Linked DNA regions of Drosophila melanogaster. The gene in region 1 interacts genetically with each later gene. Each region holds a gene or a part of one and is shown in the gene's direction. Other genes may lie near its edges. The genes, in order: Nipped-A and run.

What was found.
Region 2: of Nipped-A (region 1) and run, changing one enhances a phenotype caused by changing the other (phenotypic enhancement), as found in Drosophila melanogaster (one study listed by BioGRID).

The regions. Positions count from the first base shown.
Region 1 is NT_033778.4:5,247,899-5,252,819, reverse strand, and holds the start of Nipped-A (Nipped-A), read left to right. Parts: upstream 1-1,797; 5' UTR 1,798-1,854; coding exon 1,855-2,091; intron 2,092-4,921. UniProt on the Drosophila melanogaster protein: Part of the Tip60 chromatin-remodeling complex which is involved in DNA repair. Upon induction of DNA double-strand breaks, this complex acetylates phosphorylated H2AV in nucleosomes and exchanges it with unmodified H2AV.
Region 2 is NC_004354.4:20,688,583-20,696,717, forward strand, and holds the start of run (runt), read left to right. Parts: upstream 1-2,087; 5' UTR 2,088-2,430; intron 2,431-5,528; 5' UTR 5,529-6,110; coding exon 6,111-6,819; intron 6,820-7,228; coding exon 7,229-8,052; 3' UTR 8,053-8,135. UniProt on the Drosophila melanogaster protein: Plays a pivotal role in regulating the expression of other pair-rule genes such as eve, ftz, and h.

The DNA.
Region 1 (4,921 bases):
TGCCAAGCCAGGAGTTACTTCACTATGGGCCTTAACAATTCCAAGATTAAAACTTTCCACAGCGGTTTAATTGGCTGATCTATTCGTAAACGTCAAGGAATTAGACTCGTATATTGTGGAGATCCAGGAGATGACGCAAGACATGTCCTGACTTGTCTTGTCGCAAGGATGATTTCGATCAGATTAAATACTAAATACTTGTCTCTCAAACGTTGAGTTCTGCCTCGGCGTCGAGATATATTGTAAAAGCCCGTAGCCATTTCTTCCATTCATTTCGGAGGGTTGCCCGTCGATCGCCTCGCACTGAAACGGTTTTATGACAATGGTTTTATTTCCAATATGGGACCTAGAGTTGGGGTTTATAACGAAAACAACTATTAGATGTTTAATTTGTCTTGTAATTATTACCCATCCCTAATTCAATAATATCCCCGATTTACATTTGGGGATTAGTTGTTTTCGTTTGTTTGTTTGTTGTTTCTTCTTTGGCTTGCGGAGGGTAGCCTGCTCCACCCGACCTTTATATTATTATTATTTTTTTATGGAACTCAGATTAATTACCTAGCTCTTTTCTTAATAGCTGGTAATAATTTCTTTTCTTCTATTTTTAGATTTATTTGTTTATGTGTTTTTATTAATTTCTTTTTTTATATGTTTTGGCTTGTACCACAGCTCCTCTCTGTAGAGCTCGGCTTCAAAATTCTTTATCTTGCTTTTCTTAATATGCTTTGGCTTATACCATTACTCAGCTTATTTATTTCAGTTCACTTGGCTGTCGGTTGAAGTCATTGAAGTCATATTATTAATATTGCCTTCAATAATTAGAAGTCTTGCAGTTCGATCGCTCGATCGACCGCACTGGAGTGTTAGGTGTCAACGTCGCGTTCCGATGCTTAGTTGATTGCAATGCCGGCCGCCACAGGGATCTTTTGAAATATACACTAGTCGGCATAAGTATTTTGACAAAAAAAAGCTGCACACTTGTCAGTGAAACTTTTAAATGGCTTGATATGGTAGTATTGACTATTTTTTATTTTTTGTGTGTAATTAATATAAACTTAAAAATGAACAAACGAAATTGTTTTTATTTAAATTTAAAAAGTTATAAGAAACTTAATGAAATATGATGATTTTTTGTTTCGGCATAAGTAATTTGACAGGCCTTCAATTCAAGGTAAATAAGTCTAAATGAAGCTGGATTAGCTCCTTATTGAAAAAATGAATTTGGTTTATCCGTTTCTTTCGTCATCTATGACGATATGACCCACCATTGAATATTGAATATTGAATATTGAAATATTGGCACTCCTTTATTTATTATACCATTGAAGTAATAATCCGAGCATTTCGACCGACTATATTAAAGAACATAATAAAAAATCTAGTTATACCGAATTATTACTACATCCACAAATAAACGGAGCTAAATGTTCTTGTGATTAAATCCATCACTAACAATACACATTATTTAGTATTTTGTATGTTGATTTCCCTACACGTAAATATTTATAGAATAACACAGTTATTGAAATAAAATAGCAATAAAAAACATTTAAATTTAACTTAAAGATAGACAAGCCTGTATCCTGCAGTAAACATGCAAATAAGATGGAATTAATTCCGTGCCAATTTTTAACACTGAAGGTTGTGAAAGGTTTAATATAGATGCATCTCTGTGGGAGCTCTATATTATATAAAAAATTGAAGCATTTCTAAAATATTTTTGCGTTCCTGTTTCAAAATTTCTTATATGCTATCTTGACAAACAATTAAATCGAATATATCGGTCATACAATTTCCGACTATTCCTTTTTGTTTACAGCGGTCAAGTTGTTGAACGAGTTAAAAGGCACAATGTCGGTTATTGAAAATGTACCGGTGAATACATTTCGGAATTATTTAAATATTTTAAATGATTCCTCTTCTAAAGACGAACTTAAGCTGAAAGCTACTCAAGAGCTAAGTGAACACTTTGAAATGATAATGCAAAGTCCGGCATATCCGTCGTTCTTAGATAATTCTTTAAAAATATTTATGCGGATACTTCAGGATGGCGAACCTCAGTTCATTCAAGAAAATACAATGCAACACGTAAGTTTTAAAATTCACCATTGCATGGGCCTTAAATGAAGAAACCATGTTTGGTTGAAATAACTGTCAATGAATTTCGGCTTAAATATATGTAGTTATCTTTTAAAATGCAAAGTTGAAAATATTTTGTGTTTACATTTGTAACTCCCAATAATCGGAACTTTTATGTTTGTACAATACAATTATTTTATTAATATATTTTATATACTTATTTATGTAAAGCTATCTATATAGTACTATAGGGAAACCTTTCGGTGCCCTAGTAACAATCTTTTAAAACTGAAAACCACTGTTTCTGATATTTAAAACGACCGTGCATTGTGTTTGTGCTACGCAACTTTAAGTTTTGCGCAGATATTATGCATACATTGCCAGAAGAAGTATTATTTAAAGCATAACTTTGATTGCAAAAAAAGAGTATATTTTTATTATCGATGTCGACTTCATTAATTTTAAAATTTGAAACACATTTATTATTTATTACGTCCGTAGGTTTTCTTAGGTAGTATTATGTTTGGCAAACCAATAAAAATTTGAAAGTCACATAAAATAAAAAATTCAACAGATTTCTCAAATATGTGGGCGTGGGGTGTTTTGAACAGCTTGCCGGCGGGGTAACATGCGACTAAGTCTCTGTAGACTCGGCTAGTGATCCTGATCAGCGGAAGTTTCTTAACCCATGTTGTCTGGGGCCTGCTTACATATTCAGCACTGTTCTCAGATAAAAGAATAAGCAGAGAGGGAGACTCCACCTAATGCAAACAAGCAGTATCCAAAGCGGAGTTACCGAATAATGTAAACTAAAGGTTTTTTTTTTGCTTTTACTCTACGAGCAACGGGTATAATCATATATAATAAAATATGTCATCAAAGTTAGGCTTTAAGTGTTTACGCTGATACGGATGATACTGTTCCATAATGACTCCATTTTGCATCAGTTGGCGGTGGCTATATCTGGCACGGATTAGAAGATTTTTAATGTGCCTTCTTATATTCACCCGCCTCACATCTCAAATCTAAGAAATAAATTTTACTAGAGTTTTGTCCAATGATGTCCGAAACGTGCGATCAAAAAAGGGAAAAAATATCATTGTTTTAAGACATTGCATGGATATACTTTTTTGCGGGATAAGGAAAATAATGGTTTATACGAGATTATGCTGCAATCTACAATGTCGCCGTAGAACCTGTTTGCGTAGTACCGCCTCAAATTGAAAAGGAGCAGATTTTTGCAAACTCGCATTGACTTTTTGGGACATGCCATTGAAGGTGGGCAAATGTGGCAGGCCAAAAAATATTAAAGCTGTACAATCATTTCTGGGGCTAACAGGATTTTTCAGAAAATTTGTTCCAGGATATGCTTTAATCGCGCGTCCGCTGAAAATTTTTTTTGAAAAAAGATGCACTTTTCTACATTGGTGAACATTAAGCCATACAGCAATTAAAAGACGACTCAGACATTCCCGTACGGCAAATTTACACAAGAGATGCAGAGACAGAACTACACAGTGGCTCTTTAAAGGATGAATTTGGAGCTGTGTTGCGGCAGATGGTGGACGGCAGTTTTCATCCGGTTTATTATTGGAGCAGGAAGACTTCCGAAGCCGAATGAAAGCGACATAGCTATTACTAAGAAGACAAAGCAGCGTACATAGGTATGAAGAAGTTTCGTCACTACCTGCTAGGAATATAGTTCAAGCTCATTACAGATTGTGTCGCTTTTTAGCAGACTACAACCAAACAAGACGTACCGAGAGATGTAGGACCATGGATTATGTAAATTCAAGACTTCACTTTTACAGTAGAACACCGTGCCGCAGAAAAAATTAAGCATGTTGACTGCCTTAGTCGCTTTCCATAGAGTATGAGGGTTACTACAGAGATTACGTATTAAAAAAGCCCAGCAGGACGACGATTACACGACTGGTCAAGTATTTTTGGCTTTCCAACATGTATTGTAATCGATACAGGCTCAGCATTTACCTCGATTGCGTAAAAGGAGTTCACAGAAAGGCATAATGTAAAGCATGTATGTATAACGAAAGGAGAGGCAATGGCCAAATATTGTAGAAAATGTAAATCAATTTTGGCAATCATATCCAAGCTGTCGGCAGCGGAACCATCCAAGTGGGTCAAATATGTAATGGAAGTACAACAAATAACGGAAGCTGCTGTCCGTGAGGTTGGAGATAATCGATGAGCTTCAGAAACAGAAAAATCTCAACGAGCTCGAAGAACTGGCTTTTTACGAAATTGGAAATAATTTGATGTATTCTCGTGACTCTTAAATCCTCTGTTCGGGGGAGTTTTTAAACTGGAAATATCGAACAAATCGCTGAATTGCAATATCGCCCAAGTAATAGCTGGACACGCCGAGTCAGCCCAAATAGGAGGAGCATTTGGAAGACTTGAAGCAGCAGGACTCTGGAGACTGGATTTCGCATTGGCAAGCTATGCGCCATAGGTAGAATGTAATACAACATCTGAGTTCCGTAGTTCCGCCCTTCTTGCCCCAAGTCTCAGCCCTTCAACATGTGCCTTCTGTAATGCTCCTGGGAGCGCCCTAAAAACCTGACCCCGTCTGATCAATTAAAATTAGCAAAAAGGTTCGAACTTTTTTCTGATTCACATCTGCACTCTGCGTAACGTCTGCTACTCTTCTTGCTCAGAATCTTAGTAAGGATGTTATGCTCGTAGCCACTGCCACCGTATTAGCGATGAACCGATTAGGAACATTTGTTTCTTGTCGCGCTCTTCTCGACTCTGGATCTCAACTGCACCTTATCCATCCATATTTGCATATCAGCTTTAACTTAAGAAGACGAAACCG
Region 2 (8,135 bases), on another chromosome or scaffold:
GTTTCATAATAACAAAAGGGGGTGGGGAGGCATTATAAAATGGAGGATCGGTTGGTGGGAAAACGTATTTAATCGAGGACAGATCGACCTTCTGCAGAGGGCGGCCGATGCGTTGAGAGCTAACCCGTTTTAGGCATTTCAAAATTCAGTTTTGTACTCAAAACAAAAATAAACAGAATAAAGAAATGATCCCCTATCAACACTTTCAGTAAATTTAAAATAGGAAAAAACAGGCAGGTCTCGAATGAAAAACCATAAATCACATGATTCGTATTGATGGAAAACTTACTATAAATATCAAAAGATAATATAAAACGATGCCGATGATCACGAAAAGTGTCCTTTGATCAAAAACAGCCCAAAACATAACCGAAGAACCTTTGTTGTGCCAACAAATGTAAACAACTTGCACACTCCTCCGACTTTTCTTTACTGTTTCCCGTTTTTTCGGGAGTTTTTTGTAAACAATTTGTAGGGGACATGTGTAACAATCGCCAGAGATCATTAGGATTTCAACGCCGATCGGACAGCTGCATATTTTCCCCCACCAATTTTCGCCTCTTCCATTTTCCCTTGGCTAATTGTCGCGGGCCCAAAAGAAAGTCCATTCAAAATGGTTACGGATCGTTCCTGCCAAAAATCCATTGTTCTTAAGTAAATAGAGAGGGGCCAAGTCAACGAAAACTGAGGAAATATATATGTATGTGCACACAAGGAGCACAAATGATCGCTGAAAAATCCATGACATGTGTCCCAAGCAATCCAAGGATCCTGGGATTCGGCCAAGATGGAGTAGCGCACACGGGCCAAAGAACAGCTGGCAGTCGGAAAAGTGTGTGGAAAACGGTGGAAAGCCAGCCAATGCATGGCCACCTAACCAAAACACAATTTTGTGGGAGTGTCGCAAAGGCAAAGAATAAAAAAAAAAAGAAAACCAAAAAAAAAAAAAAAAGGAAAAGGTAAAAAGAAAAACAGAAGGAAACCCGAAACACACTCATTCCCCGTTTTTCACCACACGAAAGAAAATAAAAAACACCCCCAGAACGCAGAAAAAAAATCACTCAAACAAGCGTTTTCCAATGGAAAGTGGTGAACCGGCTGTGGTGTAATTTTTTCCGAGGGTTGAATGACGTCGCCAGCGGGGGAGGGGGATGGGGAGGAGCGGTCGGAAGCCGCTGCCGACGTCGCTGCCGACGTCGCTGCCGGCAGCACTGCCAGCGCCACAACCAAAACAACAAACCACAATTCACTTACACAACGCCGCAGCCGCAGTCGCAGTCGGTCCGCTGCCGCCGCGCTGCCCGCTTTTCCGCTTTTCCACTGCTGCCTTTTGTAAATAAAGAAGAATGCGCAAATTGGCGGCACAAATTGTTAAATACACTTTTCAGTATATTTTCAAATATATTCATAACGAAATAATAAGTTTGTTTTCCCTAAAAAAAAAAAACAAAACATTTATGCACGTTTTATAATACTTTACAAATATTTGTTGAATAAATTGATTATTGTATTTATTATAAACGCTTTTGAGCTATTAAAAGATATTTAATTTTTTACTACAAAATATGTTTCATGCTTAAATTAAATAATTTAAATTGAATTTCAGTTTCACTTTATACAGATGCTTAGTTAAAACAGTTTTTCGTCGTTATAATCGTTTCAAAAACGCATCAATATTGTTATTGTTCACTTGTCATTTGAAATAGTTAAACTAACCAAACACCGAAGGGTACAAAAATGTTCCTCGATTGGCAGTCGCTTTTGTTTTTTATTCTCCTGTGGCAGTGAGCATTTCCCCTGCGCCACTGGAATTTCCACGGTGCCAGAGTTTTCCGCTCTCTGTCGGTAATTTTTGTTGGGGGTTCTGGGGTTCTCCGTGGTCAATGGCTCCTGGCTCCTGGGATCCCTGTGCATTCAGTATAGCCTGGATAACGGTTGTGCGAGGAGCTCCATGAGGAGAGGCGGAGCCACGATCGGCGCAGCCGTCTCGTTCTCTCCCATAACGATCGCCCTACTAATAAATCATCCCCTCTTGGATGTCAGCTATTTCCGTAGCATCTGCTCGCCAACGGTTGGCCGATCTCTGCGGTTACCCCAGCCCCTCGAGCGTAGGTGCCTCTCTTTCGTTCGCCTGGTGCCGTCTCTTTCTGCGAGGGGGAGGGATCTTGCGCACGTATATGAATAATTCAACTGATCGCCGTGGTGATTGGGGGATGAACGGAGTACTGGTTTGTCCGTTCCTCGGAGGTGCGGAATGCACAGATCGTAGTTCTGATACCCATTCATTTCGAGGAAATTTATTCAGGAACGTCACGGTATTTGCATAAGTGAAATCGTATCTCACAGTTAGCAGCCTGTATCGTAGATTGATTACTAAAATACTTTTCTAAATAATCTGCACTAAGATATAGTTCAGATTGCGTAAGATCGGTAAGTACAGAAGCTTTTAATCGCACTGGAAGTTTTATTTACCGCTCACGACATTTGCATAGATGAAACCGTATCTTACAGATTCAAGTAGCTTGCGTACTAAACTACTGTACAAAAAATATCTGCACTAAGAAATAGTCGGGAGTGATTTTTTATGGTGAAGTACAGAAGTAAATTCAGCTAATTAAGCCTCGCTCTTTTTTGTTTTAAATTAACTGCTCAACAGCAGTGAGAAAAACATTGCATATATTGAGTACATGAATACAGGTTACTGTCGCCTTAATCTCCCATCGGTTAATCCCGCTAAAAAGCGAAGTCCTTTGAGTTTTTGGTGGCCAGGTAGGCACTTTCCGTATCAGATGCTCGTTGCTTATTTTTTGGGAACATATTTTATGGCCCGTGGCGGCGGCTAATCGGCCAAAATATTTGCGGGGCGTGCTGCTTAATCCGGGCGATTGACTTTCATAAGCAAAGGATTAAGATTGCGCGGTTGGACTACCTGTTTTGAGGTGCGATATCAGTACATGCGATGGTACATCTGAGGGCCAGGTACGTCAAAGCCAGTAAACCCATAGTTTTCCCACTTTTTTGGGGCCGCAAAAAAGCATCGGAGGGCCCATAAAAAAAGGGTTGATCCTTTTGGCTGCTGTGGGCTCGTAGCGAGTTCGGTATGGAGATCAGGTACTGCCTGGTGCTCGGTGATCCCTATGAGGCGGTCCTGCGGGTCCTGCGATGCGCGTGCTGCGGCAGCTCCTGTCGCAAATTGCCAAGGAATCGCAGCAGGATCCAAGAAGCGACGACAGGAGCGCTGATTTCCCGGGAAACCGGCAATCGTCAATCGGCCATCGGCAATCGCGTCCTTGTCGCACGCCCGCTAAACCTGCGCTGTCCTGCCATATATCCCGGGGCTATATGGTGTGAAATCGGTGTAGGGACACGAGGTCCTTCGCAGCGAGCGGCCGCGCACGTACAAAAGGCAGCGCTGCCGATACACTGGATTTACTGGAAGTGTGCGTCTATAATGTCCAGCTGAGAGCGGCGCGTTCTCGCGACATTTTGGTTGGTCTTGCCTCGTAGTTCCCCTACCAGAATGGCCATGCTCCCCATTCCTTCTCCTCCTCCTCCACGCGGTGCCTGGAAGAGTCCGCCACCTCGGAAAACTCGCGGGTCCTGTGTGGCCTCGTTTTTAAGGTTGTTTTGGTGGGCCGCAATTTTTTGGCCAGTCAGGCACTTGATTTGCGTTCCACTGCACGAAATGAGTGTTGAAGGAATTGAGAATATTACTTTAAATTGTCAAGTCAAGTGTCAAGTGTTATTCAGCAGCTCTTAAGAATTAATACACAGTTAATCCATTTTACATTAAGTTAATTAAATCGTTCATATTTCGTTTTTGAAGCTAAGTTTCGTAATCTGAATTACTATCTATGTATGTGCTAATCACTTAGCCAATCGCTAAGCAAAATGTACAAATCTTAAAACCTAAGTAAACGTAGATTAGTTTGAAGAGAGTTCAATGTAGGCAGCCAAAGATACTCGATGTTCTTCCAAGTATGACACTTCCGCATCAGATTAAATCCGATCAGCTAGCTAAACCTGATCCAATCAAGGATCGGCGATCGCAGGCAGCGAAAATGGAAATGAAATCGAGCCGGATTGCGCCACACGAACTGAGAGGCGCACAAATATTTACAGGACTAATCGCAGGATAATCGCCCGATCAGCATTAGGATTAAGTTCGATCCCCGGAGAGATCGATGGCACTGCATCTTAGATAGTACTGGAAGTGGACCGGACCTGACAATGGGTGTTAGTTGGACAGATTCAGATCGGAGATTGCAGATCAGTTGATCGAGTTCCGAGTTCCGAGATCGGCGATAAAGTAAATTTTGGGCGGAATCGAGAAAAACATTGAGCAACACTGAGGGATCAGTGTGCCGTAATATGATCAGCCGGGGATTTCTGATTATTTTGAATGAAACACTAATTTTTGGGACATTTTCGAACAATGGGACGCACTGTTATGCACGTGTATATGTTTATTAATTAGATCTGATCTTAAATTACTTAACTTAACTTATTTGAAATGAAATTATATGGATAACGTTGATGCATATTCAAAAAAAAAAAAATTAACACTGGAAATGATTAGTTTTTTGAACAGATTATTAAAACGATTTGTAGCACTAATAATGATGTATTTAAAATATCGTGCTTATGTTGATATATATATTATATATATATATATATATATATTATTATATTTATTATATTTTTTTCGGCATCTTCATCTTAATCGATAAGATACCTTCGAAAGCAATTAAATATATGATAATAAATACAAATATAAAGGAAAATATAATTCATCTTATGATAGTATGGGATAGTGTGTACTATATGTACTATAGATTATTATCATAATTGAAAATCCCATGTTCCAAAATTTTCCAAACTCCACAATCGTATCACCCATGAAATTAAAAGGCTTAAATCCTTTTATCCCAAAGTCATAGTGATATAGCTCTCCTGATGCTTGTGATAATATTTATGATAATTTCGCAACCTGATCCCTCCTCGCACTGACTAATTGAGTCCTCATGTCCTGTCGGCAGGACGCCCCTGGCATCCTAGCTACTCGGGAAAGGGAAGGCAAGGGAACGAGAAGGAGATGGTGAAGGGAACCCCCCGTTTGGCCATGGGTGCCTACCTGTACCACCCGCCCCCGCCCCCCTCGACGAACCCCTCCGCAGGAGGGCCGCCAAAACACGCGCGCCGCTGGAAGTGGAAAATGGGAAACTGTTGCACGGCCGTTTTTCTTTTGGCGTGCGTGGCGAAAAAATAAAATTCAAAGCGAAGAAAAGGAAAACGCACACAATTTCCAGACCGCCCGTGGGGAAAAGCGAGAGAGGAAGCGAGAGCCAGAGCGAGAGAGTGGAAAAGTCTCGGTGTATTTCTTTTTTGAGTTTTTCTTTGGTGCAATTTCCAGGCCATCACTCTCTCTCTCTCTTTCTCGCTCTCGCCCATGCGATTTTCCTTTTTTCCGCTGTTATTTTTTCCTTTTTGGCCACAAGTAACAAGCGACTTCTCTCTCACGTACACAGGCACACTAACACGACAGCCAAACACACACACACACACAAACACACAGAGAGACCGCAATGGAAAAATGGGAAATTTTTTGCTGTGGTTGTTGTTGCGGCGGCAATGGTGGTTGCTCGATATACCGATATATACCTGCCCCGGCACCCTTAAAGGCGCGCCTGTGTGCGTAGGTAGCCAACCACACCACCATACCGCCCAGGATAATGGGCGGGAAAGAGACGGCGCTAGCGCCGTGCAAGTGGGACGGGGCACAAACGCCGGCAGAGCCGTCGACAGAGGCGGCGAGCAGCGCATTCCACTTTAAATACTGCCAACGATCGCAGCAGAGAATCAGTTCACTCAGCGACTTTAGCGTGTCGAGAACGCACAGAGAAATATATCGTTTTCGACTTTGGAAAACAGAAACAGGCTCGAAAGAAGCAGAGTTCGAAATCGCGAAACAATCCAATAACAACAAACAAACGAATTTTTTCCAAGTGACCCCCGATAAAGTGAAGTGCATACCGAGAATCCGCAATAGAAAACCGGCAATTGTCGACAGCCCCAGGATTACGGCTACGATTTCCACATTCGGATACGAGATGCATCTGCCAGCGGGTCCAACGATGGTGGCCAACAACACACAGGTCCTGGCCGCTGCCGCCGCCGCAGCAGCCGCCGCAGCGGCCGCGGTAGCCCAGGGTCCTGGGCCGCAGCAGAGTAGCAATGCCACCACCGCCTCCGCAATCGCCATCAATCCCGCCCAGAGTCTGGCCAACACGAGCACCCACTCGGCCAGCAGCACGGGCAGCTCCACACCAGATCTCAGCACGAACAACACCAGCTCGAGCAGCAACGCCACCACCAGTCCGCAGAACTCCGCCAAGATGCCCAGCTCGATGACCGACATGTTCGCCAGCCTGCACGAGATGCTGCAGGAGTATCACGGCGAGCTGGCCCAGACCGGATCGCCCTCGATCCTCTGCAGCGCCCTGCCCAATCACTGGCGGTCGAACAAGTCGCTGCCCGGAGCCTTCAAGGTGATCGCCCTGGACGACGTGCCCGATGGCACCCTGGTGTCCATCAAGTGCGGCAACGACGAAAACTACTGCGGCGAGCTGAGGAACTGCACCACGACCATGAAGAACCAGGTGGCCAAGTTCAACGATCTGCGCTTCGTGGGACGATCGGGACGCGGCAAGTCCTTCACGCTGACCATCACCATTGCCACCTATCCGGTGCAGATCGCCAGCTACAGCAAAGCCATCAAGGTGACCGTCGACGGGCCACGGGAGCCAAGAAGTAAGCAAAGTGAGTTTTTTAGTTTCCATTATGTTTTCAGTTTAATCCACTCCCAAAGATCCCCAAAAAACCAATTCAGAAACCGTTTGCATATCTTCAATTACAATATTCATAGTTTTGAAAACATTTGCCAACACTAACTAGTTATGATCTTAAATAACTAATGCCATTTTTAAGCTCAACTTTAAATGATCAGTCTGTTTTGAAATGATTGCATTGATCACTTTATCTTAAAGATTTTATCATTATTTTTGCTTATCCTTTTGCAATTCGGTTTTGATACACATATCCAAGGATCTTGAGATCCATTGCCGCCAACCAAATCCCCCACCATCCCCCCAACCTTTTTAAAAACGCATTCCGATGAAATACGAGTTGTGCTTTACTGACTTCCCGCCCTTTTTCTTTATCCTTCCAGGCTATGGCTATCCCCATCCCGGCGCGTTTAACCCGTTCATGCTGAATCCCGCTTGGCTGGATGCGGCGTACATGACCTACGGCTATGCGGACTACTTCCGCCACCAGGCAGCCGCCCAGGCGGCCCAGGTGCATCATCCGGCACTGGCCAAGTCCTCGGCTTCCTCGGTGTCGCCAAATCCCAATCCATCGGTGGCCACCAGCTCCTCGTCGGCGGTTCAGCCATCTGAGTATCCCCATCCGGCGGCAGCAGTGGCAGCGGCGGCGGGACAACCGGCGGCCATGATGCCATCGCCACCGGGAGCGGCGCCTGCCACGCCCTATGCCATTCCGCAGTTCCCATTCAACCATGTGGCCGCCGCAGCCGCCGCCAAGGCAGCCACGCCACACGCCTTCCATCCGTATAACTTTGCCGCGGCAGCTGGCTTGCGGGCCCGCAATGCTGCCCTGCACCACCAGAGCGAGCCGGTCCACGTCAGCCCCGCCTCCTCCAGGCCCTCCAGCTCCTCGCCCACCCAGCAACACGTCCTGCTGAAGCTAAACACCTCCATCGAGACGAGCTCCATCCACGAGCAGTCCGCCAGTGACGGCGACTCCGACGACGAGCAGATCGACGTGGTCAAATCGGAGTTCGACCTGGACAAGAGCCTGGATGTGGCGCCACTTCGCATGCGCTGCGACCTGAAGGCGCCCTCGGCCATGAAGCCGCTCTACCACGAGAGCGGTCCTGGAGCGGTAGCCAACAGCCGCCAGCCGTCGCCGGAAACGACCACCAAGATCAAGAGCGCCGCCGTGCAGCAGAAGACCGTGTGGCGGCCCTACTAGGGCATCTGATCCCCAAAAATCTGGAGGAATGAAGAAAACAAAGTGATATAACAGCGGCGACGCAGAGCGGCAAGCGGGCAAAA